Coturnix japonica: one gene and its partner. The protein of the gene in region 1 purifies or fractionates together with the protein of each later gene. This does not show direct contact. Links are inferred from orthologs where the notes say so. Each region holds a gene or a part of one and is shown on either strand. Other genes may lie near its edges. The genes, in order: LRP6 and AXIN1.

Evidence for each region.
Region 2: the proteins of LRP6 (region 1) and AXIN1 purify together in Homo sapiens (affinity purification with western blotting; 7 studies listed by BioGRID and IntAct, with this or other methods). This does not show direct contact. The link is inferred for Coturnix japonica from reciprocal best matches to the Homo sapiens genes LRP6 and AXIN1.

What each region holds. Positions count from the first base shown.
Region 1 is NC_029516.1:66,021,368-66,036,896, forward strand, and holds the start of LRP6 (low-density lipoprotein receptor-related protein 6), read right to left. Parts: upstream 8,470-15,529; 5' UTR 8,188-8,469; coding exon 8,133-8,187; intron 1-8,132. UniProt on the Homo sapiens protein: Component of the Wnt-Fzd-LRP5-LRP6 complex that triggers beta-catenin signaling through inducing aggregation of receptor-ligand complexes into ribosome-sized signalosomes.
Region 2 is NC_029529.1:10,795,690-10,810,455, reverse strand, and holds the end of AXIN1 (axin-1), read right to left. Parts: intron 11,633-14,766; coding exon 11,079-11,632; intron 9,126-11,078; coding exon 8,949-9,125; intron 8,157-8,948; coding exon 7,911-8,156; intron 3,477-7,910; coding exon 3,309-3,476; intron 2,823-3,308; coding exon 2,696-2,822; 3' UTR 2,370-2,695; downstream 1-2,369. Other genes in the region: PDIA2 (protein disulfide-isomerase A2), read left to right, coding at 57-131. UniProt on the Homo sapiens protein: Component of the beta-catenin destruction complex required for regulating CTNNB1 levels through phosphorylation and ubiquitination, and modulating Wnt-signaling.

The DNA of each region.
Region 1 (15,529 bases):
TTGATATGCTGAATTTGTCCTGCTGACAGCAGCCTAGGATGAACGGAGAGCTATGTTGCCTGGCCAGACCTTTGCTTTCAGCCACATATAAAGCTATGATTTTAAAGAGGAGACCCAAAGTGGCAAGCAAATAAAGGTGATATGACAGCAGCATAACACACTCCCCTTGGACTACAGACTCCAGAAAGGAAAAAGGTTTATAGATGTATGACCACGTAGCACCACAATCCACGTTAACATCTGAAGAACCTCATCAAAACACTTCCTGCTTCTTCAAGCATCTTCATAACCTCCCTTTGCCACTCCTCCAGTTTCTCTAACAGTTGTCAGAACATCGTGTGATACTGCAGAAGTAAACTTCTCTAGTTTACTGGAAACACCTCAATATAAACTGTTAAATGAAGACGTTAACCCACACATACACTGCTGCAGAGCATCTCCCGCTTGCAAAGTATGTTTCTGCACGTACTTTTGCTCATGCAGAAAAAATAAATCTTATTTTGCCTCACTTTAACAACTAGAGCCCTACATCTGAATAGGGATAATATTTTGCAGTTCAAACTAGAAGCCATATGAAGACAAATAAGATAATACTGAAATATATCCATCATTATTTCCTATGGAGCTACTAAAAGTAAGAAAATCAAGAAGCTTTTATCAAATCACTCCTGACACAGTCCAAAGGCTGTAATCCGTTTAAGACCCTCCACTAAATTAGAACACATAGACACTATGCAGGGATGGGTAACAGAGGCAGTCAATTTCAAAGCACCAAGGGAAGCTGAGGACCATAACATATGCCTGGAACACGTACCAGGCTGATGAGAATACTCCAAAGCCTGCTGCTAGCCTGGAATGATTGCAATCCACATGGTTGTCCAGCCTGGGCAGCACAACTCTGTGGGGATATACATCCAGCTGAGAGCAGCTGGGGGATTCACCTGGACTTCTAACAGCTCCCATAGAGGCAAAAACCCACACAGCAAGCAGCACCGCCGGTCTACCTTCAAACCAACATTTTCCACACTGACACAAAGTTCACAGTCATTGAGCTACCCTCAGACAACTTTGCCAGTGATTTATCCCAGCTGGCATGCCCAGCCTCTATGGTGTTTTTCTTAATATTTCTTGAAGCATGTTTCATCAGGTTAAACAAAAACCAAACCAAAATACTCCTTAATTTTTTATTTTATTTTTAATAATTTAAGTGCTATCAGGAAGCTGCAGCAAAGCACAACCTCAGAATTTAGCAGAGAAGAGCTGAGAGGAGATCTGGATGACCAAACAGGAAAGTTGTCAGCGCTACTAAGTGCAGCACAAGAGCAAGCAGTATCTCTCAGCTGCACCACAAACATGCAACTGATGGGAAAGGGGAGGCAGCATCACTGCCCCAGAGCGATGCCATAGCTGCTCCTCTAAAAGTTTTCATTAAACAACGTATCTGCTCTCTGGTGATACTTCAGATTGTGCTTCCCAGGTTAAGCTTGGTGAATAGCAGCATTATCAGTGCATCTGTCATAATAGAAACGAGAAGAAAGTGGAAACAAAATACTTGGAGTACAAGCTTGAAGTTAAAACTTCCATCAGCCAAAAGGAATTCAAACCAAAAGTGCATTTTAAACACAGTCTTAAGACCACATCAATTGTAGTACAGACTATTAAATGGTGATTCCAGTTGAAATAGTCAGTAAGTATAATAATACAACTAATATACAACTAATATACAACTAATATACAACTAATATACAACTAATATACAACTAATATACAACTAACATATATAAAACCCACCACTAACAAGAACCCATAAACACACAAACAATAACAACAAAAACCCTAGAATTATGAACATTAACAATTTACCATATAGGTAAAGGTGAGACTCAGCTATGTTTCTGAATCACCAGAACAGCAATGCATTTCCCAAACGAACATAAAAAGAATCACTAAAACATTTACAGGTAATTTTTTCCCACTCTTCCACTGTTCTTAATTTTAATATTTCTACTCTATAATGTTTGTGTGAGACAGAGATTCTTTGATTCCTGCAGCGTTAACATTTTAAGTAACGCTAACACTACGAGCACAAGCAAAAATTCTACTCCCTGTTTGGATAGAATAATAATGAAAGGAAAAACACCTGAAATTCTCAGTCACCTTCCACATATCCTTAACTTCCTGAACTCATGCAAACACATCTGCCACATTCTAGAACTGTTTGACAATGGATAGAGTAGAATGCTTAATACTGGGCTACTTTGGAGGCATAAGCATTAAAATAATAATAAAGAAAAAGGAAAAAAATGCACTTTTACTGTAGGAATGGATCAAGTTAAAAAATAAATTAATTAAAAAAAAGCAGGAGAAAGAAGGGGAAAATAATAGTATCAGAGAATAAAAACAAATGATTTTTTGATCAAGCAAAATTATATAGTTAGTTGATTAAGATTTTTCTGTGTCAGATACGATTACTACTCAAATCCGACATCAAGAGCTCACACATGGCCCTTATAAGCAGAATTAAAACTCTAATCCCATTTCTGCCACATTTATTATATCACGAGGGAGTAGTTCTATTTAGGTAACGTGATCCTGTAACAAGATACTGAAAAAAGTCGGCATGAGTGCTGCAATTTTCCATGTCTGTTTATATTTAAAACATTTCTCTTATTGTTCTATTCATATAAATAGTGAAACTCAAAAAACATTCCATCTTCTTATGCTGACACATTTTCTCCAGCTTTTGTAACAGTTTGCAAAGGAAACATAATATTTCTAATCCATAGAACTTCTTAAGCTACACTTTGAGTGGAATGTTCTTAAAAATATACTGTAAATTAAACGCCAAAAAAACAAAGGTATTAAAGTATTCACATTGTGGTTGTAGGTCATTAGACCTAATACTGTTTCAAACCAGGTAGGCGACAGTGCCAACTGCTTTGAAATAAACAGGTCTGTAGCACGACAGTCGCCAGGATACAAAGAAAAGTCTATTTTTGTAGCCATAGTGCAGGGGGATAAAACAACAAGGGAAAAAAAAAGGAGAAACAATAAGAAGTTCAGCAGTCAGACCAAGCAGACTAAGTCCTTTTGTCCGTGCAAAGTAAATAGGGAGCCTCATCACATAGTGAACCTCTTTCCATAAGTATTCACAAACTGCGAGAGTATCTACAAAGCTTGATAAAGGCTCTCTAACTGTTGACTTGCCTGCTAAATATAAATAGGAAAAAGTTGTTTAGGGTCGATAGTCAGCATTTACTGGCTACATTAATCCACTAGAGACACAATGCAATGCTTTCTCCTGAGCCTTGGACAACTACTGCAAAAGAAAGATGCAGCTTCTTCGTTTGGGTCAATACTCTGAAGCGTTAAACTCTGAAACTGCACCAGCTGGGTGTAAGTTGGTTAAGTCAAGGTTATTAAAGGGGAATCAATTTCTTTCACCTAATAAAGAGAGGTGCCAGCACATCCCCCTGAAAGAGCCATAACTACAACTGCTCAACTCACAAGTGTAGTCACAGAAAATTCATCACTTCCACAAGCTGACAAGCCACACTGTTCAGGTTCAATGCCTCATCTCCCACGCCAGCAATGCCAGCTACCTCATATGACCACACGCAACCATTCCCAAAGTCTGTGAGGTGCCTGCATCCACTCTCCTCATATCTTTCTGAGCAGCTTACACCACTAAGCCCATCTGTGGAACATTCCTGACCAAGGTAAACCATGTTTCACTGGCAACAGTTCCTTTCAAGGTACAAATGGCCCTTCATGTGTCATCACAGGAGTGGGTGGCAGCACGGAATTTCACCAGCCACATACTTGTTATGAACTAAGCCTGTCTCAGGTGAACTTGCAGATGAGCAAGGGCTCCCCAGCAGCAGGTCAGGCACGCAGATCTGACAGAACAGCTGGCTCCTCAAGAAGTAGCAGTATGCAACAATGTCCCCAAAAAGACTGCACAGAATCATAGAATTACACAGGTTGGAAAAGGTCTCAAAGATCGTCAAGTCCAACCACAGCCTAACCATAGTACCCTAACTCTAACAACCCTCTGCTAAATCATATCCCTGTGCACCACATCCAAATGCATCTTAAACACATCCAGGGATGGTGACTCAGCCACCTCCCTGCGGAGCCTATTCCAGTGTTTAACTACCCTTCCTGTAAAGAAGTGTTTCCTAACATCCAACCTAAACTTACCTTGGCACAACTTGAGGCCATTTCCCCTCATCCTGTCGCCTGTCACCAGTGAGAAGAGACTGGCATCTCTGGTATCACTCAACAACAGCACATACCCTTCCCTGTAGTACAAGGATGTGGACGTCTTGAAGAAGCCACCAGCAAATCAACCCAAGCAGTTAGCATTTCATAGGAAATTAATGAGGTTAAATATGCTGAGGTAAAAGAATATAGTGTCTGAATCTGGAGACTGGCTGCCAGAAGAGATAAACGGTGACAGATCAGAAGCCGAGACTTGTTTCTCTGTTTTTTCTCTTACCCATTCCCTCAGAAGAAAGAATACTATTTGTGCTCCACTGGATTTTAATTAGAAAGTAAAGCCCTTTATATATGCATTGTTGCTGATATTTTGAAGCTGGCATTTTTGACACGTGACATCATCATAAAGGTAGTTACATATGTCCAAAGGAATCAGATTTCTCCAGTTCCCAAAGGCAGAGTTTAAAATGTTCCTATGCTCCAGCTCTTGAGCTATATCTCTACCCATATCTCTACTCATTCTATAACTTCCAGACAAATTCCCCCTATTATCTAGAACTCAAATGCAGATGTAACCCATTCAGAAGGGAAAAAAGGAAACCTGATTAATGCTCCTCTAACCAGTGTTTTTGAGAAACACAAGAAAGATTTGACCCAAATATCTGTAGAGAACTCCCACTGAAGGACACAAGGAGCCCATCATCTTTATACACCTATGACTAGATCCACATACCCCACTGCTTCCTCATATCTCTGGCACATCTTGCCACAAACACTTCTTCCTGTCCTAATTTTTCTGTTAAAATATATATATATATTAATAAAAAAAATAAAGTTAAGGCAGTCTAATGAGAGCAAGCTATCAGAGAGATACAACTGCAAAAACTATTAAAACAATGCTGGATGTTTTATAACACCTTAGATAACACTAATTTTAGAATGTACTATGGAGAGATGAAAGAGGAAAATGCATTGGAAATCACAGCAGACAAAGTTGTGCTGATTTCTAAGGAATCACACAATGGAAAATGTGACTAGAAAACGGTCACTTTCCAACTCTGGGGAGAAAAACACCTCCAGTCAGATTAGCAAGACTTGAACATTAAACTCTTCTTAACTATGTCCAAATTAGTCTATCTAAAACAATACAAAAAAGCAAAGCTGTTCTGCTTATCAAAAGGAAGTTATTCATAACAACAGATTCAAGCTCTCTTCTCTCTTCTCTTAGCTTTTAAAAGCCTAATACCAAAGAGACATTTTCAACTCTTCACTAACTGATTAGTTAATCAGCACAAAGGTCTGCAACATCCACTATAGTCTACACAAACATCATTGATAAGATCTCTATTCAAACAAGAGCTTTATGCACTTTCTGCACAATCAGGGCTTTAAAAAACAACAAACAACAAACAAACAGCAATTGCGTGATGACTAGAGCTATTTCTGGGACAAAAGCAAGCCAAGAATACTTGGGAAGGTAGAACTACCTCTTTAACACTTTTTAATAAGTTGAAACCTGTTTCACACTTATCTGTAGTTCCCTGACAGATGTGATGCCACTGCTACTGCCTCTTTGCAATTGCCAGTTACCTAACAAGAGCTTGACTGGTTTCACAGCTGCCATGAAGAACACACAGAGTGACCAGAGGAAAGGTCTTACTGACTTGTCTGTCCAGATCCTAGAGGAGCAGCCTCAGGAAACACTGCTAAAGTTCAGAGTCCCCCAGATCAAACCAAAGACCAAGAGAGGAGCACAAAGGCCGGGCGGGTGAGACTGGGCAGATTCCAGGAAAGCAATCCCTTTCTCCTATCGTACAGCACAAGGGAGAAACAAATCAAAGAAACACATTCACACAAACCTCCACAGCCAGCTGTTGTGACATCAGCTCATCTCATACTAATCTAAATAGCTGCCTTTGAATAGTCAGTATGGTCTGCTTATCACAGTTCTCAGATTACTCGACAGAAAGGTGCCTTGGGGTGTGCTTCCAGTTCTGGATCAGAAAGGTCCAGTACTTCTCCAAGTCCTTACTAGTTCATAAGGTACCACACTTCCAGGCTACCAGTTTTACCCCCTTCCAGACTGATAAGCCAGTTTTCTTGCACTAATAATCACAGTTCAGTTGTAAGCCTCTGTCCATTTGTGTTGTGTTTGTTTTTGTTGTTGTTAAGTAAGAGCAGGGAGGCGAGCTCTCTAAACAGAGGATGCTGTAATTCACAAACATATTTTCCAGGTTTCAGCCTCCAATGCTGAGTTTAAACTCCAATGCTGAGTTAGTTGACTTAGCAGCCTTCACAGCACCAAATTCACAAACCAAGTAGCGAACGTCATCACTTCAGCTCTACTTTCATGTATAAACTTATTCATACTTATTCTGGCACTGCCTCTGCCTCATTAAGGAACAGCTGACACTTCGTATGAACTCAACACATCTTATTCAAACCAATTCTGCCTGCGAAGACGTTGTTTATTAAAAAGGATGTATGCATTCATATTTTATTCTTGTTTCTTCAGAGTTCAGCTGTTCCTGCTGCTTATATCATCCTTAAGTAACAATTAAGGAAATTACTATCACGTCACAAACATAAGACTATGAATTTAGGTGGAAGATCCAACAGAAGGAACACACAGAAACAGAAGAAAGGGGACTATTGCTCGGATACAAACATCTTGGCAATAGATAAAGACGACAGATGTGAAGAAATGACAGTCCAGATAGTTCACAAACTGAATGTTTCTTCAAAGTTTATTTAAGCATCACTGGATACGCTAAAAAGAGCAGCAGGACACGTCACTGTTCTGAAATTCATTTGAAGAAGTGGCTGTCGCAGCTCTGATATCATGCAATGGTGCTGCCATTTGAATTAAACTGCAATTGAGAAGCAAATGAGTGGTTTATTAAGAACAGGTATGGTCGTTACATAATAAAACTAACCAGGAAACTATTCCTCTCCCTGCTCTGGATCCAACCTTACTTTTGAAAACTGAAGTTTCCCCGCTCCAATTGGAAGCGAACTGTTACAGTGTATTTAAATAAGTATACTTGTATCCTTACAAACAGGATACAATATGGCAAACAGATGCATAGGAAAAAAAAAAAAAAAGAAGGGAAGGGAGTATGGAAGAGTGGAAAATTTTTTGTTTTGTGGAGTATCGAACAACCGGCTACTGAGCAGTTCCTTCAGCTCAAAACACCTCTATTGATCTTTCGTGGATAAATGTTGAGAACGGAGTAATTTTCTATATCAAACACGGTTGATGAACTATCAGTTATTAACCACTTGCATCCTCTAGCGCAGAATAAGATGAGAAAATTGCAAGATGATGGATGCAAACATCGCAGGTGATTTCTTCCCAACAGTAAACAGACTGAAACCGACGCAGGAGTTAAGTTCACAATACCCAGAGAAACCCGGTTTTAACGCCGAGACAGAAATCCTCCTCCTGAAGCAGGAATCGCAGAGGGGGGCAGCGGAACCCAGGCGCCCCGGGGGACCGGCAACAGCCCCTTGCCGGGCACCGGGGACCGATAAGGAGCCGCCCGGCAGCGGGGAACCCACTTCTAGGGGAAGCCCCGAACCGCCGGGGCAAAGGAGGAAAGGGGAAAAGAAGGGAAAACGAACAGCTCTGGCGAGGACACGAAGAGCGGCGGGGCGACCCGAGACACTCGCGCCCGAGCCGCGTTGCCGCCGGCAGGGCCGGGACCGCGGAGGGAGCCGGGGCCGTTCGGTGCCTTTTTACTCTCTTTTTATTAAAAAGCCAAACTTGAAGGCGGCAACAATGGGCCGGCCCCGCCGGCAAGCAGGCCGCTCCCCTCCCGCCCGGGCAAACATGGCCCCTCGCAACACGGCCGTCAACTTTTCCCCACCGCCTCCTCCTCCTTCTCCTCCTCCTCCCGCCCCCCGCTCACCTCGCATCAGGGAACAAAAACTGCAGGCGAGCAGGCTCCGCAGGACGGCCCCCATCTTCCCTCGCTCCGCGCTCTCACCGGCGGGGCGGCGGCGAGGAGCAGTCCCTCCGCTGCCACTTCATGCTGCCCGGCGGGCGGGGAGGCGGGGAGGAGGGCCGGGCAGCGGCGAAGGGCGGCCGCCGAGCCCCCCTAGCAGGCCGCTGGCCCCACCGCGCCGCAGCGGCACCGAGCGCTCCCCTGCATGCCGGCCTCCGCGCCGCCGCCGTGGCCGCTCGCCATCCACTCTCCGCTCTCTCGCTCGCCCGGCCTCCGCCTCCGCCGGGCGCGCACAGGCGCAGGGATACAGCCCTCCTCCTCCTCCTCCTCCTCCTCCTCTCCTCCTCCTCCCCCGGCCCGGCCCGGCCTGGCCCCCGCCCCGCACTGCGCCGCGCCCGCCCGTCTCCGCGCTCCCGCCGCACCGCCCGCCTTCTCGGGCGGGGAGCGAGCGGGCGGGCAGGAGGCGGCGCGCACGCAACGACGGCGGGGAAGCGCCCGGCGGCACGGCGGGCAGCTCTGCCTCGGGCGGGGCGTGGGGCGAGGGCGGGCGGGCGCGGCCCACGGGCGGCCGTGGGCAGGGCCAGGGGTCGGACGGGGGGAGCCGGCCCGACGCCGCCGTCGCATTCCAGCGGGACTATTTCCGCGGTGTTTCGCACGCACACGCCTCCGCCGCCTTTTTGGGTGCGATGCGGCCGTCGGAGCAACACCGGCCCGGGAGGGACGGGACTACTTTCAGTCACACAGCGGCGGCGGCCGCACAAAGGCGGCTGATCCCCTCCGCCCGCAGGTGAGGGCTGCTCGGCCGCTGTGGTGGTTCCCGAGTGAAGGGCGGGCTGCGGTGCCACAGCCTTTCCTCGAGCATCTCTGTGGTGCTGCCCCGTGGGCGAAGATACTTCGGTATTTGTGCTACATCTCACGGGACGTCCCTCCTCTCCTCCGTTCCGTGGGATGAAGCTACGAGGCAGAACGACTTGAAGCACGATTTGAGATCCTCGCGTTCAGAAGTCCGTATTATTTTTCAGGGTTGTTAGGAACTTATGGAAACATTTAACTTTTAATTTCGTATCTGTTGAACATATATTTTCATAGCTTTTCTTGTGATTACAGTAGGAGATAACATCTGGGCCAGATTAAAGGCCCAGGCATTGCAAACCGGCTCTGACATCAGACTCTGGCAGTCATGTGATGATATCAGACTTAGAGATTCTACTGGGGAAAAACTGCAAGTTAAAACTTTTTAGAGAAAGAAGTATAAGTCTTTATCAGTGACACTGATGATGGAATTGAGTGCACACTCAGCAAGTTTGCTGATGACACCAAGCTGAGTGGTGTGGTCGATACGGTGGAAGGAAGCGATGCCGTTGAGAGGGACCTCGACAGGCTGGAAAGCTGGGCTCGGGTGAACCTAATGAGGTTCAACACGGCAAAGAGCAAGGTTTTGCACTTGGGCTGGAAGAACCCCAGGCACCTGTACAGGCTGGGAGGAGTGATCTTTGAGAGCAGCTCGGCAGAGAAGGACCTGGGGGTCCTGATGGATGAGAAACTGAACATGAGCCAGCAGTGCGCTCTTGCAGCTCGGAAAGCAAATGGGATCCTGGGCTCCATCAGGAGAGGGGTGGCCATCAGCGATAGGGAGGTGATTGTCCCTCTTTACTCTGCTCTTGTGAGGCCCCATCTGGAGTACTGTGTCCAGGTGTGGAGCCCTCAGTACAAGAAAGATGTGGAGCTGTTGGACAGGGTCCAGAGGAGGGTGGCAAAAGAGGACTGGAGCACCTCCCCTATGAGGACAGGCTGAGGGAGCTGGGCTTGTACAGCCTGGAGAAAAGAAGGCTGTGGGGTTGACCTCATTGCAGCCTTTCAATACCTGAAGGGAACCAATATCCAGGAGGGGAGTAAACTCTTCGAAAGGGCTGATAATAGCAGGACACGGGGAAATGGATTTAAGTTAAAAGAGGAAAGATTTAGGTTGGATGTTAGGGGGAAGTTCTTCACTAGGAGAGTGGTTAGGCCCTGGAACAGGCTGCCCAGGGAGGTTGTGGATGCCCCGTCCTTGGAGGTGTTCAAGACCAGGTTGGACGGGGCCCTGGGCAACCTGATCTAGTAAATGTGTATGTTTGGTGGCCCTGCCAGGCAGGGGGGTTGGAGCTTCATGATCCTTGAGGTCCCTTCCAACCTGGGTCATTCTGTGTTTAATTCTGTGTGTATACATCCAACTTGGAAAGTTGTTTAACAAAGGGGGGGCGGGGGGGAAGTCTTGAAAATGTAAACAACAGCAATAGCTGCCTGAAGGCAGGTCTGCGTTTAAATATGTCTTTGACTCCACCAGGTGGAATAACCTCCTCTGTTGCTGCAGTGTCAGCCAGGAGGATAGAAGACTCAAGCAAGAACCATGACAGTGGAGGAGAAGGGCTTCCTGTGAATAGATGTACCTGAGAGTGGATGAATCTTAGCGTACCCTTGTTGTCATAACTGGATTTTGTGGGAGCAGACAGAAGCAGCACAGCATTCTATTAATTTTCACTGAGCAGCTGAAATCAAAGGAAACAGCAATTCACAGCGTTGCATAATCAGTGATTAACCTTTTGTGAAGTATTGCAAGTCCGTTGTGAATTCTTCATACCTTAATAACACAATGGACAGCTGAGAGAAAAGTCAAGCCTGAACCCTCAAATGACACATTTCTCTATGAGCTGTTCCCTCTTGCAGGTTGTATTCCTTTTTCTTTTGCTGGAAACACAACGGTGTTTTGGTTATCTCCCTTGGGAGCCGGATCCCCTGCCTGTTGGCTCTCCCATCTTCCCCACCATCCCATCTGACTGGCTTTATTTTTAGCTTACAAACATTACATGCTGTCACCCATCATGAATTTGACCATTTCTCTATATTTCAAAGACCTTTCCTTTCCTGATAGGATTTCTTCTAAGTCACTGACCGATTAGTGGCTTGACTTATGTATCCCCTTTTCTCCATATGCCTCATAGAGACAGTCCTCTCTCTAATCAAGCCTAGGTAGCATCTTTAAAAACTATTTTCTATTAAATGCTTAAGATTCAAGGCCAAACCCATGTTGTATCTGTTTCTCAGCTTTAATTCTATTTTGTACACACAGGAGGAACTCGGCTGTAAAGGTTTTTACAAATTAAACCAGATTACCTCACACAGAAAAGATTCTGACAGCCAGGTTCCTCTGAAATACTTACATTCTTTTATTTGATCTTAAAGTTAAGATGAAGGAAATAGGAGAATGTTTCTTCTATTACAGTAGGAAGCTCCTCTTGTTGGCTATAATTATTTTTATTAATCTTATGAACGGAAGTGTTCACTTGCTCATTCAAATCCAGTCAGACTGACTGTCAAGAAATCTGTACAGTGTTATTCCTACCGCTAGATTCGGATGGTGATTCAATGATACAAGAACTTTCACAAGAATTTTGTTATACTCGGGTTAGTTCCCTAGTTTGATTCATAATACAGCTTCACAAGCATTTCTGTCAGCACAGAGCACAGCCAGGAGTGGAAGCTGGAGCTCCTGAAACCAGTAGTAACTCAAGTCTCTGCACCTTTGAACAGTGCCCTGGGTTGCAGTGAAGTCGGTGGGATCCACTGTGGAATGGGGACTGAAGTCCCTAATGAACAAAAGTTGTTAGCAGAAGATGGTTGCATGGCAAATGAATTTGTGGCTGCCCACATCACAGAAACCACTATCATAATTAGTTCCCTTGCTGAATGTCTCAACAAGAGTTAATGGGCATGGCATGGTGAAATCCTGGTCCCTCTGAAGTCAATGGCAAAACTCTCACCAACTTCAAAAGGGTCAAGTTTCATACTGAAACTCTAGCTCAAGTCCTCTCTTGCATCCATAAGGAAAGACAGAAGCAAAGTAGCATAGAAATTGGGATGTGAAATAGTGATGACTTCATCAGTGATGTCAGTTACAACAATTTCACAGGTAAAATAGGACACCGTGACTCCAATCGAGTCCCTTTCTTTTTCTTTTTTTACTCATATTTGGAGTTGCTTCTTTTCCTTGCTCTTCGGTGCTACCTTATTTGTTTCTCCACATTAAGTGTAATACCTGTTCTTTTTTTACCATCTCCTCTTTCAGAAGATGCTGCCTGGTGTCCAAGATGGGAACTGCATTTCTTTGTGGCTGCAAAAAATCCTTACAACAAAAAACTTCACAGAGAAGGTCCTCGAGTTCAGCAGAGTGTAGGGGTAAGCTAGTCCAACAGGATTCCAGCGACAACCTGAAGGGGAAATATAAAAGAGATGACCCTATAGGCTTCGGCTTTTTCTTTATACCTTTCGAGGAGAGTTTGGACGCCTGCTGATGGTCTAGCCAAGATCAGGCTGTTTATCTGCTGCTTCTTTTCTGCTCTTCCATCTCCCAGGGAGTTGAAAACAACACTGCCTCAGGATATACTTCTTCAGCTGTAGTACTTTCAACATGAACCATATAGGATTCTGATTTTAATTTGGCACTGCCCACCAGGCCATAGGGCAAGCCCAATGCTTTCCTTATGAAAGCCACGTAGCCACGGCTATATTTCAAAGCTAAATTATGAAGTCATTTTAGAAAGTTAGAGTTCTAAAATTTGTGAAGAACTGTAATGCTGGGTTGATACAGCTAAAATACCCTTTCAAAAGAGATCGCATTGCAGACTGACAGATACCAAAACACTATTTTAGTTCAGTTTGCAAGGATTTTCAAAACCAGACAGCATCTGGGCTCTATTAACAACAACACGCATGCATTTTAAACAACAACAATTGAAGAAGAATTCATTTTCAGAACACTTTCGTGGGACTCAGTATTTTGCCATACATATCCATAGGACTTGAAAGTTATGCTTTGCACTGTAGCCTTTCAAGTTTGAAAATTAGTTCCTGGTAAAGGGTTGGACATTTGTACACACTATTACAGTCATAGGGATAAATTACTGGAACGCATGCCTTATTATGGTCAAGAAAGGTAAGTTTCAGTGATAAGCCATCGTTCGTACAACACTTCATTCTTTATGCAATATAGACATTGTGACGCACCATCTGTGCACAGGAAAGAGCTCTTTTGAAATTTGAAGTAGCTTCCTCTGAGCTAAAGCACAGTAATAACGATGCATGTGGGAAAGCTGCAGTTCATAATAACAAAAGAGAATCACCCTTCTTCAGTTCAAAATCTGTGGAGAAGATTTATGATTATGTTTATCTACATCCCTATCTTTATAGATTTATATTTATTTAGTCTGCAATTCAGCCAAGACTCCTGGCACAATGAGAAAATGGCTATGTATCTCCTTAACTGTGATACCACTTCAGGGGGGTTGTTTATATGAGCTGTTGAAGAAGCCCTCAAACTATTTCAGGAAAGCAGGACGAGTTACTTGCACACTTCCTTGGAGGTGTTCAACACGCTTGTTGTTCAGCACACACACTTGGAGGTTTTCAAGACCAGGTTGGATGGGGCCATGGGCAACCTGATCTAGTAAATGTGTATGTTTGGTGGCCCTGCCAGGCAGGGGGGTTGGAACTACATGATCCTTGAGGTCCCTTCCAACCTGGGTCATTCTGTGATCTGTGATTCCTTAGAGCAGAAAAGAGTGCCCTCTGATGGCTAACCTTTTGGGTTTAATATCTACAATGTTAATGCCAACCTCAACTTAGGAAATTCATAAAGCAAAATCACAACAATGCAAGATGCCAGAGCAGTTCGTTATCTCAAGAAAAAGAAATTATCTTGATTTATTTATGACAGTAATTAAAAATAGGGGTGGAGGTATAGTCTTAGTTTTTTCATTAAATTAATATTGGTCAGTTTTTCTAGTAGCAAAATTAATGCATTTGACAGTACAGAACTGTTACCTGCATGCATTCTCTGATCTAAGTTTTGTTTTACTGTGATAAGCTTGCTTTAAGGCTTGGGAAAGTGGCATGTAGAACGTATACAAGTCCCTAAGCCTTCAGTTTATTTCAGAACAATAAAAACGTGAATGCCCGAGGGTGTGACACCACTCTTCAATGAGTAAACTTGCCTTTTTTTTTTCCTTCTTTTCTTTGGATCTTCAATTCAACTATTAGCAATGCTGATAATAGTTTTTATTAGTCCTCGCTCACTTTTCAAAGCATGAAATCCAAGGATAACTGTCAGCAGCTGATTCTACAGTCTACCCATTTTAAACATGCCTTTCCCAGTAATTTCAAGATAGCTAGAGAATTTCTGGCTTATTAGACTCATATTGATCTATAAATCAGAGATATAGGATTCAGGGGGAATGGCTGAAGTGAAAGCCAAATTCCAAATTCTCTCATTTACCCCACTGTCAACTGGCAGCAATGCTAAGTACTGTAAACACCAATCTCTTCACAAGATATTTGAAATACAGGCCCAGAACAGCAGAAAGCCCTGCACACATTGGCATTCGCTAAATACATCATATTGATTTCATTACCTGTTAGCAGAGGAATGAGTGTGGGTCCTCAAAACCACTATGGTTCAATACAGAAAGATTTTGGTGTGTTAAGGCCTGTAGATCAATCTTCATATGATGACGAGTTAGAAGAGGCAATTATATACGGCTAAAGTCTCATTTGCTGCTTTTCCATAGTTCTTCAAATAACTTCCTTACAGCATGGACTTGGATAAAGATTCTTTGTAAGCTGACAACTGAATGTAGATAAGTGACAAAGGAAAGCACACAGAAAGATATGAGCCTCAAATATACTTATTAAAACAGTTGCGCCTGCTATAAAGATATTACTAAAGAATCACCATACTCAGTTATGAATTTAATTGATTCTGTTTTCTTATTAAATAAATAAATAAATGAAGCTATCCACAATTTCTTTTCCTTTCCTATTCCCTAACCTCTCCAGCCAACCCCACGGTGACAGTATTTGGTCGTGTGGATCTTTGAATAAAAGACAGCAAATTGTGTTTGCATAGGCCTGACACATAAAGCTCCTTCCAATGCCTTTTTCAGTGTCAGAGCTTTACAGTTAATGCAACTTGTACTAATTTTTCCTTACTACAATTGTGAAAAATCTAATACCTTTAGAATGATATTAAAAGGGCTTACACAGAAGAAAATCCCCATTTAATCTTGGCATATTAAGAAATCTTTTCTTTGAACGTTACATATAAAATGCTATTTTTCCCCAAAAACACTTTTAAAAAAAAAAATTTAAATATGAAAAGCTTGAGGAGTTGTAAGAACCAACAGTTTAGAGCAATATCTACACTTGTGGTTTAGGAGTCTTGGCAGAGGAAACATTGGTGAGAATTTACACGTGCTTCTCATGGAATTCCATGGCAATAAACTGTGAACTCAATATATCAAAAGGTGTCCTGGTTACTGTGTTAAAAA
Region 2 (14,766 bases), on another chromosome or scaffold:
ACACGTGGGATGGAGACAGGACACGTCCATCCCTGCCTCACCATCACCTTCTGCAGGTGTCCATGGCCCCAGAGAACAGCACAGAGTCACCGAGCTCATCTGGCACAGCCGAAGCCCGGGAGGAGCTGTGAGTCCTGTCCTGCTGCAGTGGGCATTATAAATGACCCTGGAAATGATGCGGGCTCTGTCTGTGTCTGTGGGATGCAGCTGACAGCCATGTCATGGGGCACATGGCACTGAATGCTGCCTGCTTGGCCTCCTGGGGACACAGTGCAGCTGGTGGGTGCCTCGATGGGGGTTGAGCCCACTGGGGTGTGCAGGGCAGTCGGTCCCATGGTCAGCTTGGCCTCAGGCACCCATGGCACTGAGCATTCCCATGGAGGGGGTGCTGCCTTTGCCTTCCTGTGATGCTGGACCCAACACAGCCCTGGGCACGCTGTGATTCTCGTCCTTCTGTCCCTGCAGTGTCAGAGTGCTGCAGGCAGCCCAGGTTGGCCCTTGTGCTGCCCCAGGCATGGGGCTGTCAGGGTTTCGGGGATGAAGGAACCACAGAAGGCTTTCAGCTTCATGGCCCCAAGGCCTCCTGCCTCACACCTGGGCTGCAATAATGCAGAGCTGCCCCAGGGCTCCAGTCCCAGCAGCTGCTTTCACACCCTGGAAAGGCAGGAGTAGCCCCAAATTGGGCTCTAAAGAGCCCTCTGGAGCCTTTCCAATGCCTGGCTCACAGTCTCAGTCCCCAGCACCATCCCCTCCCCCCTGAGCTGCTGCTCTCCAGCCATAAGCAATGGCTCTGGGACCCCCATGCCCACCCTGTGGGCAGCCCCATTTGTGTGCCCATGGCCCTGGGTCAAAGCAGAGCCCTTCTGTCTGCTCCCATTCTCAACCCACTCCCACGTCTGCTCCGCGGGGAAGGAAGAAACCAGAAGGCACCGGGATGTGGGGCTTTATTTCATTTTATCCAAGTACCTTTGAAAAGATCATTGTACAAGTCAGCACATGAGGATGCACAGGAGACACCAGCAGGGCTGCACGGCCGCTGGAGGATGCTGCGCTCAGCAAATGTACATATTTACAGGGAACCCCCTGAGAAAAATAAGGGGGAGACGGAAATCCCAGGCATGGCAACAACCTCACCAGACACAACACCAGCAGAACTTAAAAAAGAGGGAGGAAAAGACGCTCGTAACACTGTTCCCTGGTTGAAAACGATTGCAGATTTTGCTGGACTTCACATAGTGGTAGGCAAGTCACAGAACCGTGTTTAAAGGCACGTGACGCTGTACAAGAGGCTGAGTTGTCACCCAGCTACTGCGAACCGCCTGCAGGCAGCCGGGTTGTGCCCCAGTGCTGCAACAGCAGTGAGCAATGGGGCATGTGGGCAGGCAGGGTGAGTGCTGATGTGGGACCCCCGAGGAGCTGGAGCTGCGGGCACAGGGTTTGCCCAATGGCTGGTGCAGGGCTGCGGCTGCTGGGGCACAGAGCACAGCCTGGGCTGGTGGGAAGGGCAGGGCTGAGGGCAGGTGGAGCTGAGATCAGACCCATCTGCACCCCAGTAGTTGCCCCTTACAGTGACTGCAGCATTTGGGGGACCTGGCTGTACAACAGCCCCTCAACTCCTTTGCTGCTGGCTTCAGACCCCTCACACTGCTTCCCCAGAGACAGAACCTGACAGAAGACACCGGATTCATAACACGATGGTTTCTGTCCTCAGACTGGAAGTGTCTCATTGGTTTCCTCCCTGAACTACCCCTCTCCTAAGGCAACACCCCTGAGCAAAGCCCAGCCTTGGCACTGGGGTCTGCACACAGCTGCCAGCCCTTCATTGGGGCTGCAGCAACCTCCAGGAGGGAACGTCTGCCCCAAGAGCAGGCACATGTGGGGGACAAGCACAGGGCATGGGATGCCAGTGTCCAGCCCCGCAGTGCTGAGCAGCAGCTGACCCTCACTGGTGGCCCACAGCCCTGCCCTGGTGGAAGGCACCACAGGAAGCCTGCAGCACCAAGAACTGGCACCCACCCTCCCTTTCCCTTGGGGATTCACTTGGTCACAAGAAAGCTCAGGAGGAAAACCACCCCTACCAGGTCCAATAGCTGCGACTGCCAGGGAGGCGAGAGCTCAACTCGTTCAGAGTGGCTCAATAATCTTCAGTGGGGGCCACTCTGGAGTGCAGCAGTGACTTCCACAGCAGCAGGGACAGCAGCTTGTCGGCTGGGTGCACCCCAGCCCAGCATTGCTCAGAGCCATCCACACTGAGGGGGCAGGGAAGGGGGGCTGTGAAAGCGAGGACCACACGGAGTCTGATGGATGGCTGTACACTTTGGGTGCGTTCTGCAGTACCTGCGTGTTTTTACATTTACATAAGAGCACTGTGACATTGGAAATATTTTCCTTTTATTACAATATATCAAAAATATGCAGCTTTAGTAAACAAGTTCATTTTACACTTTCTAATGCACTGTACAATGCTACATTACACTTATATTCCGTATGGAGAGGGAGCCCAGGCTCCCACTGGCAGGTTTGTGGGGGTGAAACGACTTCCCATGGCACAACAGAGCTTGCCCAGGTCCTGGCACAGAGTGGGCTGCACCGTGGGCTCGCCCAGCACCTCCTGGAGTAGCACCGCCAGCGTCTGCCCCAGACCTTCTCCTCCAGTCCCAGAGTCTTTCACAGTCCTTTCCTGCAGCCTTGGAGCCTAATCGATCTTCTCCACCTTCCCAATGATCTTCTCTTCGAAGATGGGCAGGATGGTGTCGTCCTCCCGCACCTCCTCGAAGACCACACCGCAGTCAAACTCATCACTCACTTTCTTAAAGTAATACCTGAAAGGGAAGGAACACGGGGACACAGAGGGGTTAAGGGCCACGTGGGACATCACAGTGATACCCAAACATGGGGGGCAGCTGTGGCTGTGAGCTCATGATGAATGGGAGCAGCCCCAGCAGACATGGAGGCTGGCATCCACCCCTGCCCTCTCCTAGTGAGGGTAGTCAGAATGCAAGCAGGCATGTTGAGAAGCAAACTGTGATGCAGGATATTTCTGGAGGTAGGACTCCAGATGCAAGTCTGAGTTCTACCCTTATTTAAAAAGCACATTCCTGGCTCACTTTGGGACTTACTTTTCTAAGTGAAAGGAATGTCCACTGGCAACCAGATGCTGCCACAACCCTGCAAGGCTGCTGAGAACCCCAGTAGCTCCCCTGACCTACCTCCTTTGCCTTGACAGGATCAACATCCTGGTGGTAGCAGCTGCCAGGGGGTGCTGACAGTCTGCTGGCACCACACTGCAAGTGGCAAACAGCCCTTACCTGTAGTTCCCTTTCTTGGTCAGCAGCTCCTTGAACTGTCCCAGTGTCACCACGCGCCCTTTGACGAGGGTGCGATATGGGATGGGCTCTCCACAGAAGTAATAAGCGACCACGATGTTCTCACATGGCTGGGATGCTCCGCTGCCTGGTCTCTTCTGGGGCTTCAACCTGTTGTACAAAATCACAAGCAATGTCCTGAGTATCGGCCTATGGTGCTTGGCACAGACTCAGCATCATCGGCAGCACTGGGTGCTGGTTGGGGTGAGGGGCTGCCCAGGCAGGGGATGCAGGTCCAGACCTTCATTTATCTGCAGAGAACTGGAGCCTTTCTGTATGGAGGTGCCAAAGTAACACTCAGGGCCCTCAGGAAACATCTTTTACTCTGACCACCTTTCTTGGCATACATCTGTGCACTCAGGCTGGTGAACAGCACTTAGAAAGGCTGGATGGAGGCCAGCTCATAGATAGGAGGAACAGGGCACAGGTTCCAGCTCAGCCCCTTCATGCTGCAGAAACCCATCCCAGGGACAGGCTTTGAAGTGGCTTTCCTGCAGCACTGAACTCTGAGAGCAATTGGTTTAGGCAGAGCAAGGCAGAGCATCACACACCCACTGCAGCCAACCAGTGTCACCACCGGTGTGCACCACTGTGCTTGGGCTTCAGGCTTCAAGGCTTGCTACCTGGACCTCAGTACAAGCAGTGCTTCGGTGATGGCTCCCAGGGCTCAGTCTGCAGGAGAAGCCTTCATATCATAGACAAGGAGAAGAAAGTGCCATCCATATCAGCTAGCAACTCCCTTTGTGAAGCATTTGGAGTTCTCATGTGCAGCTCTGGGATGTGCCAAACCCTGTGTGCTTTGCTGCTCACCCCATCCTGTCTTGCTCCATCATGCAAGGCCTGGCTGGGCTGCAGGCTGGATTTTGGAAGGCAGACACCATCCTCAAACCTCCAGTGAGCAGACCTGGAACCTCTCACACCTTCCTGCCTGTCGGGATGTCGGTCTGCTCCTTCCCTCCAGCCCACACACTGGCATTTGCTACTTGGTGCCATCACCAGATTGAAAGTGTCCAGTCCTCGCCTCATTTTCAGAGTCAGACAAAAGTAGCAACAATCAAAATAAGGGCACTTTGCACTTGTGTGGAGCCTTTCATCTGGGGCGCTGTAAATGCTGCACAAACATTTGAGCAGCCTACACAAATGCGTTGCTTGGCATGTGTGGTCTCAGCCAGAGGCAGCCTTCTCTTTCAGAATCACATAAAACAGATTTGGCAGCTTTAAAATCATTTAAAAGGCACACGGGGTAAAAGGGAAAAAAAAGGAGAAAAAAAAAAGGATGATTTTGTATTTATAGGACTGGAAAGTTGCTATAAGAGCAGAATACGCCAAGCACATGAGCTAATGGCAGTGTTGGAAATGGCTGTGACCTCAACCTTTAAATACAGTCACAGCACCTTTGTAATGGCACGTCCACAATAACATTGGCACTGCAAACCAAGACCAGGGAGAACTCTGTCACCTCTTTCTAAAGCCATGAGAGGTCTAAAGTTCAGCTCATAATGCTCCTGGTGCCTGCTCTGCTCTGGAGACCATTGGAGAAACTGCAGCATCCCAAGAGGTGATGGAGCTCCTTGTGCCAGCACAGCTCTTAGAAGCCATCCCTGTATCAAAGCACAGGATGCCCTTTAGGCAGAAAAACATTAAGGAATTGAATCATCCTCTGGAAAAAATAAAAAATAAAATCATGTGTTTAAAGGAAAAACGGGTCATAAATTCAGGCAAATTCTGTGTATCCTGTGAGCCAGGAGTTAATTGAAGGGGTTTGGAAAACCTCAGAGTCCCTCAGCTTCTCTTAATGCTGCTGGAAACGAGTCATGACTATGAGAGAGCTGCTGGTGCCCAGGGGAGCTGGCACGGAGGCTGGTGGGGATGCAATGACACACGCTGTGCATGCAGCATGGTGCTTAGGCTGCTGGAGGGCAGCTCCTTGGTCACTGGGGGGGCAGGCAGGACTGTCACAACCAACACCTCGAGCTCCCCAGCTCTGCCATGATAAAGCCAGAGCAGGATTGTGCCAATGGCTGGGAGCCTTCCTCCTCCCACTGTGTAATTTGTGCCTGAAAAGCTGCTTTGCAGCCACCTCAGACTGGCTGCTGTGCTCCTCTTCCCCAGGCTCAGAAAGGGGCTGTGGGGACCGTGTGGCTTCTGGAAAGCATGTGAGGGAGAAAGAGCCGCCTGGTTCTTTCTGACAGGACCCCAGGAGGCCACCAGTGATGGGACAAGAGCCAAAGGTTTGGTGCCTCCTTGCAGGAAGGAACATCACCCTTTAAAGCATCACAGAATACACACACGTCCCCAGATCTCTAGCAAACTGAAGCAGGGATGATGAATAAGGAATCATTGACAACACAGTTTTCCAGACATTCCTCCCCTGAGAACATGACAACACAACCATCTCTGCTGCCATCATCGCACAGAAACCTCCCGAGGCCACTTCTAACCCAGATGGGCCCCTGCTGAGTGTGCTGCTCCATCACAGCACGCCTGAACCCTGCCTCATTGGAGCCTCCATCTGCACCCATCCCCTGGGTCTGCAGTGTACCCTCTCCATGAACACACACAATTAACTCTCTGTTCCTTCTTCTGGCCTCAGCTCCCTTTGCAAAGTTTGTCACAAGCAGGAAATGTTACCCAGCAAGATAAATGCAGTGCTGACTGCCTTACTGCACCTTACCCTGCCCAAGGAGCCTTGAGCTGGGGAGGCAGCCAGATCATGGCAGGGGTGGGACTGGGGGGGGGGCTGTAAGGTCTCTTCCAACCCAACCATGCTGTGATTCTATGGTTCTATGACCAGCACTAACTCAGCCTGTGTCAGAGCACAGACACAGCCCAGCTGTGATGCTGCCATGCCCAGCACAGGGGAGGTTTGCTCCATCCCAGCCCTGGGGCCAAAGAGCTGTGGAAAGCCTGAAATACAGCCAGCAGATGTTACCTCAGGAGGTGTCCCAGCATCCAGCTCTGCTCCTCTTCCAGGCCTGGCCCAATCAAACTAATTCCAAACCAAGCTCACGCTAACATTTTTGCTGGAGAGACTAGAAAATTCTTTTGCTGCTTACGAAAATCTCTTCTCTGCAGAGCTGCTACTAATTACTTCTTCCAGCTGGAAACGTATGTGCACTGTGACAGTGAGCTACAGAAAATGGCTCAAAAACTGACTGCACAGGCAAGCAACCACCGGGACAAGGCTCTCCACCAACACAATGGGCACAAGAGGTCAGGTCAGCCAGCACTGGACACTTCAGCTTGCATAGGCTCCCAAAGATCAATGGCCCAGCCTCAAACACTGTGAGGAGGCAGCACAAGTGTGAAAGCAGAACGGCCCAGCGTGGCTCAGCCTGTTCTCCTGCTGGTCTGAAGGGCACATACCACAACGCCATGGGGTTTCTACAAAAGCTGCCAAGTTGTTATTAGAGTATTCAAGACACATGCATAAAGCCCAGGCTGGTGTTTCCCAAGTGTGCATCTGCACCTAGACGTTTCTTGGGAAGGTGTATGAATTTAATATGACTATAAATGACTCCACAAATAAACCTTATCCAATTACACCAAGTGAAAGTTAGATCAAATAAGCCTGGCCCAAGCCGACGTGGGAGAGCCCTCTAATTATTTAGCTTCCAATCAATGCTCTGATATAAATATGCAGAAGTCTGCTACATGACCACTGCAAGCACAAATAATTGCAGCTCAGCAATTAGAGGAGCTTGTTCTTTAAATTACACTCATGTTTCTGAATGTCAGACTCCAAAGTTTAGAGTTTTCAGAACACAGCTATAAAGCAATGAAGTGACTACAAGCAATTCCCATTGTGAAAGGTTTTTAATGGTCAAAGTGCTTTTAGTTCTTAACAGTAATTATCAAGCACTTCCAAAATGTTTTTCATCTGAGAGCTCTGTGTGCCTTGCAACTAATCCTCCCTGAAAGATAATACGGGAGCAGAAGAATTAGCTCTGCAACAGGCATTGAGCTGAGTCACAGGAAGCTGCAGTGACTTGGATACAGGCATGCAGAGAACAATACTGCTGCAGCAGTGTGCAGCGCTCCCCCTGAGCTGCCACAAGCTTCCTTTGCTGGAAGATTGAATGAGATGTAGATAAAGAGCACATACATATTCTTCTGCACTTAATTTTGCTGCATTCTGCTGAATTTTGCCACTGCACCAACCAAGAACTCTGCAACCAGTGTGTGAACGAACCACGAGTGTGCTGGTGAAGATGAGGTGAGTACAGCAAACCGGACGCTGACTAGTTCTACAAAGAGCGCTCTTCCCTCTCATGCTATTTCTAAACAGGCTCCACCTGCCCAGGCTCATTCAGAACATTTCCAGACTTCCAATCCACAAAACTCAAGCCCAGGCCTTAAGGCAGCTTGTGGCATTTGCCTGTCAGAAGCCATGTCAGAGAGAATGAGGAGGCTTCCCTGACCTCTCTGCAGGTGCCTCCACTCAGTTAGTGCTGGAAACTGGAGCACAGCACCTCCCATGGCTCCCCAGTCACAGAGCAGCCTCCCCCCTTTTCTCCCATGCATACTCAGACCCCATGGCCATACCTTTGTTTCAGTGGGAGTTTTCCAGCTCTCTTTTCCTCCTCCTCCAACCTCCTGCGAGCTTCTTCCAACTGGGTGAGTGGGTTGGGTGCTGGGTTGGGTGGCATGGTAGGATCTTGGATGAAAGGATGTGAAGGCTGGACGACGTTCCGGAGCTGGGCACTGACCCACGGATGCACTGCAACAGGCCGCTCAATGGAGAGGGGTCGGACCATGTCGTGGGACAGCTGCTTCTTAGCACCTGAAGAGCTACACACAAATACAAAGGTTTTACACAGGCTGCTGAGTCACTCTGCACACGTGCACGTCCAGATGATACCATGAAATGCACAATAGAAACAAACCCAGCAGAAGGCAGCTCAATGATGGATCAAATTTGTTCAGCAGGATCCGCCAGAAGACGCCCTGATGTGCACTGCCAGGCTGTGAGCCACTGATGGGCAGTGGATGTTGCAGCACTGTGCTCATCCTTGCCAGCCCCTGCGGCACTGCCCATGGCTCTGGCACGGCCCCAGCTGCCTGCAGAGCAACTTATCTCAGCTACTATTGTGAAACAAGGCAAAAAACTGTCCAGAGGATGCTCTCAACAAGCCCAAACGCTGGGCAACCCAGTTCTCCTTACCTGAGCCCTCTTAAACTGCTAACTCTGGACCAATGGCTTCAGTGCAGCAGGACCTACATTTCTATCAACACTTTGCACAACTGACAGCTGTTTATGTACAGAAAGTGCCTAAAGCAAAAATACTGCCTACTGTGTGCCTCATTATCCATTCTGTACCCACAGCAGCAATTTGTGAGATTCCTCTGAGGCTTCAACCTCCTCCCACCACCACAATTCATTCTTCAGGAAAGTAAATGAATTTTATGCTTAAAGCTCCCAAGCAATCCTCAGTCTCCAAAGGACCTTAACCCTTGTGCCTGGTGGATGCTTGTCTTCCCAAGACCTCCAGGAACAAGGCAGACCACTGCACAGCCTATATGTGCCTTACGCAGGGGATACAATAGGACAGCATGAAGACTCCTCACTCTACCAGCCCTTACCCATGGTTTGTTTTCTTATGCCTGCTGATCTCCTTCTCTCCTTCTATGATCCACTGAAGGATCTTCTGGTTTCTCTCCACGTCTTCAGGAGATCCTGGCATCTCATAGTTGGCACCATCACTTTTCCCTGAATCGGTCTTCTTAATATTTCTTTTTGAGAGCAGACTTGCTTTCCCACTGCAAGAACAAAGCTTGAGACATTAGCGCTTTGCCTAAGCCAAACCTCCACAGACAGTGGCAGAGGATGGACACGTCTCTCTTGGACACATTCAGCCCTGCCAGGGTCTGCTTGGTTCTACTACAGCTCAACCAACTGTGCCATGGCTAAGGCTCAGGGCAAGGTTGGTTAGCCTGAGGCACATCAGGCTCCCTGTCCCACATGCAAAACAGGGAATGCATCTGGCAAACAAGCCACGGCAATGCAGCAAAAAAGCCCAGCAGATCTCCTGCCACATAAAGGATTGTGTTCAACCCTCAGTTCTCTGCTCCAACATGATTAACAGGCTCAGAGCACGAGGATCAGCCTGGTGCTGCAATCCATTGGCTGCCTCTCCGTGTCAGATCACTGCTCTTACTCAGAGCCCTTCCTGTGCCATCCTCACACTTGCTTACAGGTTCACTAGCACCCCAAACCCCCTCCTGCCGTTCTGCCATGCCAAGCACTTGTTTCTCACCACCACTTGAACTGAGGCTTCATGTTGTACTTAAACATTTATAATGCCTTCTGCAGGCTGTCACCAACCTGGGTAATACAGTCCCATCAGACTACAGCTAGATTGAAACCAGGCAGTTATGGAAAGGCCCTGGCTATGTTTATGGCTATAGCACATCACTACAATTATCCCATCCCTCCTTGGCAACGTGCTGCCCATTTGCCCAGCAGTGCAGCCAGGCACCTACATGCTCATGGGGCTGCACAGTGCTGGCCTGTCATTGCCATAGCCAGCAGTTTTACCGGCCACCCCCGCATCCTGATCACCCACCTGCTTTACTTCTGTATGCTCATTAGCACTGACAGAAAAAAGAACAAGACTGTTCAGATGTGAACTCTTCTCTTACGAGGCTCCTACCCTGGGGAGAATCAGGAACTGGGAGTTTGTGCTAAAGAAAGGACAGCTCTGAATGCACCCTCTGACATTTCCTTTAAGCATGTGTTGCAGACAGTGCTAGAGAGGAGCTCTGTACTTAGATGGGGCTCTGGGTTGATCCAGCATGGCATGCTCTGTAGAACCAACCCAGCCATATCTTAGCCCTTTTCCTATGGAAGCTGGGCAGACGTGGGGGCCCTTCTTCCCCACCTGGAAAGCAGTTTGCTTCAGCTGCCCCTGCGCTCTGCCTCCCTTCTCCCACCCCATAAAGTTGCTCCTACACATTGATCTGGCTGCCTGTCTTCACTAAATATCCTACCCCCAGTACACTGCTCCCAGACAACACACCTCAAGGAGCTAATGAGCTCTGCACTGCAGTTTCTCCACACTTACAATCAGCATTCATTATTCAAGGTAGCCCTGAGCCTCACCTTTGCAGTAATGCAAACACAGGACTAGCAAAACCTGCTGCTGCAGAGAATGAGCTTCACCCTCTCCATTCAGCACACAGATAGAAGATGGAGGAATTGGGTGGTCATTGCAAAACTGAACATGAGCAGTGTGCACTGCAGCCCAGAAAGCCAGCTGAATCCTGAACTGCATCTAAAGAAGCCCCTGTCAGGGAGAATGTCCCCTTGGGATAGCAGGCCACAGCAGCACCAGAACATCCACTGCTTAGCCAGGAAGAGAAAGGAAACCTTCTGGTGAATAAAACAGGCCTTGCAAAAAGATGAACCTTTTTGTTCTCTCATAAACAGCTTAAGAACCTGGTTTCTGTTACCCAGATCCCGAGACACAGCCCTACTTTTATCACCTCCCAAAGCACAGGGAAGCCCCAGCACCTCTGCTGCTTTAAGGAGCAGAAGTGCTACTTTATAGCCAAGGCCAGTAAAAATCCTGGTTAGAGGATTTCATCACCAGGTCACAGAGATTTTAAGTGCTGTTAGGAAGCATATTCATTTCTGAAAGGAAGCGCAGTGGGAGGCCCTTAAGCCACGTCCTGTAAGAAAATATGGCCCAGCCACCCTGCTGCCCTACTCACCTGTAGCCTAAAGAGTCCATGGGGACAGGGGCCATGCCCAAGTTTTCAGAGTAGTTTCTTGACTTTGTTGCATAGTTATGTGAATCTACATTCCAAGCAAAGCTGTTCTGCACTCTCTGAGTGGCCTCGGCCTCAATTTGCTCTTTTGGTTTCATCATGCTGTGGTGATGGATGTGGTGGTAGACATGTTTATGGTGGTATAAGTTAGCTGCATCCAGTTTCATTCCTGATTTCGTTGTGTGTTTGCCATGCCCTGGAGGAATCGTTCCAAGTGTCCCTGACAGCTTCCCTAAGTGGCCACTTTCTGGAGACCGTGGCTTGGGCGAATGGCGGCCGGGGCCTGGAGACTGACAGCCTGGTGTTTTCATCACACGTTGCACGTGTTCATCCAGGATGCTTTCTGGGTTTTCTTCATGTGCATCTCTCATCTGCATCCCAGCACAGCCCATCTCGGAGTAGCGAGGGGCAAAGTGATGAAAAGGTTGGGCGGAAGGCATCTTGTGGCTGAGGACTGAAGGACCAGAAGAGAGATCTGCATCCTCGCCTTCTTCTTCCTGCAAGAAACAAGAGGACAATTATAATGACAGCAAGGTGGCAGAAGAAGTCTGTGGGGTCTTCCTGCTCACAGCACGACTGTTACCAACACACGGATGGGTCACCCTTGGCTTTGGCCAGCCATGTTGTGAATATGTTCAACATAGAGAGATGTTCCCTTCTTTGGAGCCCTGCCCCAGGCTGTGGCACCTTCCTGTAGCCACTGACACTGCAGCCAAACCCTCCACGCAGATAAAGAAATGGCTGTAACTGCCTGCTTGCTCTCGTGGCCCACAGCAGCCTCGGACACGCTGCTGTTAGTGGCTCTTACAGCTGTGCCAGGAAGAATAAAACTCCTCCGTGCTGACAGCCACAGTTTTGATGCTGACAAACGATTTTATGCTCCAACATAAACTCAAATATTTATGAAGTTTCTTCATTGGAAAACAGGCTTCTTATTTGTTAAAAATTACATAAGTAGGATTCCATGCAAGTGCTTTAATCCCGCTCTCTTTTCTTCCTTTGGAGCAGAGAATCATTTGCAGCGTGTGGTATCTCTGCCCTGCCAGATAAGTGCATCTGCTGGAAAACACTGCCTCCCACCAGCTCTGCCTGTCGGATGTCCCCATCCATCACTTGCTATTCAGCTTCAAAGTCTCAGCTGCCAACCACAGTGCGAGAAAGCAAATAACAGACTTCCTCCCCACGTCACACCTGGGGGTTCAGAACTCAGCCAAGGACAATGGCAGCCTTTGAAAGCACCGAAGATGTGGGCGCCTGCTGTGCCCTCTGCCAGCAGCTCCTCCAGGGGGCCACGCTGCTGCCCAGCCCTCCGAGCAGCATGGTGAGCTCAGAGCTGGTAGGAGCAGAGCAGGGCTGCCCAGAGCAAAAGCATGCAACAGAACGAGTCCCAGCAGATGAATCAGGTGCGGAACATGGCAGAGAACTGCAAATGTTTTCTCTTTACATTCCCCTCTCTCTGCAATATGAACCTACTTCAGAAGTTGTTCAGACCCGCCTCACCATGTGGCAGGGATCAGAAACGGGCTGTTGTGCAAACACCTCGGAACAAGGCTGATCCCACAGCACAGCAGCACTGTTACAGTGACTCAGATGACAGCAGGTCACTCTGCAGATCTGGAGCTCAGGCTGACGTGATACCCATTCCCACAGGAGACAGCCCACTTCTCACAGACTGCTTTTAAAACCTTCAGGAGCACCTTTCATCTCCAGTGACAACACTGCAGCCTGTAAAACCCCATCTCTGCACAGCTGGTTTAGGAACAAGACAGAGTATGTGCAGCCTAAACCCATAATGCTGAGTTAAATGATTATGAGCAGGTTATGATAACACAGCCACACACTCGATACTTTGGAGGCTTTTAGGGCTGGTACCCACATTGTTCTGCTCAAGGACTGAGGTCAGGGTGGGCTAAGGGAAGGGGAGGGATGCACTGTCTCACTGTGCCCTGTCTCAGCTCATCTGTTTCACCAAGCTCTGGGAAGTTGGCTCCCCCCAGACAACCAGGAGCTCAGTGCAGCTGCACTGGGCACAAGTCAGCCCCTCACCTGGCACTTCTGGGCCTGCTGCACACAAACATGAGGAGCCAGGAGGACCAGCCTCCACTCCTGCCCAGGGCTGTGCCCTATGCAGGTCCCTGCTGCCTGCAGCCCGTGCCGGGCAGCCTCAGGTGGCACAGCCACTAGGTGGTGCTTGGGGGACGTGGTACCGGCAGGCACATCCTCTGCCAGCTTGCACAGCCAGCGACAGTGAGACGGATGCTTCGACTTTGCCGACTGCCTGCTGAGCTATTTTTACTCTACAGCCCAGCCTGAGTCCTTCCCTTGGAGCCGGGAGGCTGAACAGGCGCTGCTGAGCTATGGATAAGCAATATCTTGCTTTCACATCTCCCCACATCTCCCAGTCCCACCTGCAGGCTGCCAGGCTGAAATAGCTCACCTAGCACAGGAGTGCATTTATATCTTCAAGCAAAGTGCATTTTCCCTCTACTCAGACAACGTTTTACACTCAAATATTGAGCATCTCAGCAATGGTTTTACTTCTCCTGCACTTGGCTTATTTGAAACTCACTGGGTTGGGAGGCAGTCCTGCAGCTCCCATACAGCTGAGAAAGTAACAAGGCAGCATCCTCCCATCACCTCCTGCACCTGCTCAACATAATTAACAAATTCAGAGCTTTTAGGTTTGTTGTTTTCTTTAAAAAAAAACAATCCTATTATTTTTTTTCCAGCAGAAGACATCTGGTTCTCTATCAGGTATCTCTTTCAGATGCTGCTGTATGATGTGGCTTTGAAAGGGAACCTGCAGGCAGCCCAGTATGGGGTGGAGAAACCTTTTTTTTGAAGCTTTTGCAAAATATTTCCAGCTTCTCTGCTAAGCTGATAACTGCCCAGTGTGAGTAATGCCGTATGGTTTCCCCTGTGCAATGAGCCATGCAGAACCAGTAAGAGGTCACCCTGTAGTCCTAGTGCTCAGGACTGTGATCTCTGAGGATCCAAGCTCTCCTCTTGCTGATTCCAGCAGCTCTTGCACCCAAAGTACTGACCTAAAAAAACTACAGTTGCTTACTCTGAGTTTTTCCTGAATGGTTAATGCTAAATGCCAGCCAGTCAATGAAATATATTCTGTAGACAGCAAAGAGGTTTAATACATAGCAATAGTGGGAGGCTGGGGATTAAAAATAGATTAAGTCACACAAAAATATGTTTAGACAGACTTAAATTTATTCTCTGGCATAGGCATTTGCTGATTTTATGGTATTGCTACTGGCAACTTCTTCAGGGTGGTAGAGAGCAGGGCTAACGTAGCTGGGCACTGCTGGGGGCAGCAATGTAGCTATGGGAGGAGGAGGACTACGAATAGGAAATGCTGCTGGTCACATTGGCTTTGTCTAGAAAGCAATATGTATGGTAAAGAAAACAGACCAATTCCTAAAGAGCAGGAGCCTAATGACAAAATAGAACCTTGCTGGTGTGTTTCTGGCTGGATGCTGAACACAGCAGTGCAGAGAGTCTGATGGACAATGCTTGGCAATGAAACGCAGCTCAAAGGTTACCCTGCATCCTCACTTCTTACACTGGAAAAATGTGATTTAAATCAATACCACAGCCCTATTGTGCCTTTTCTGTTTAA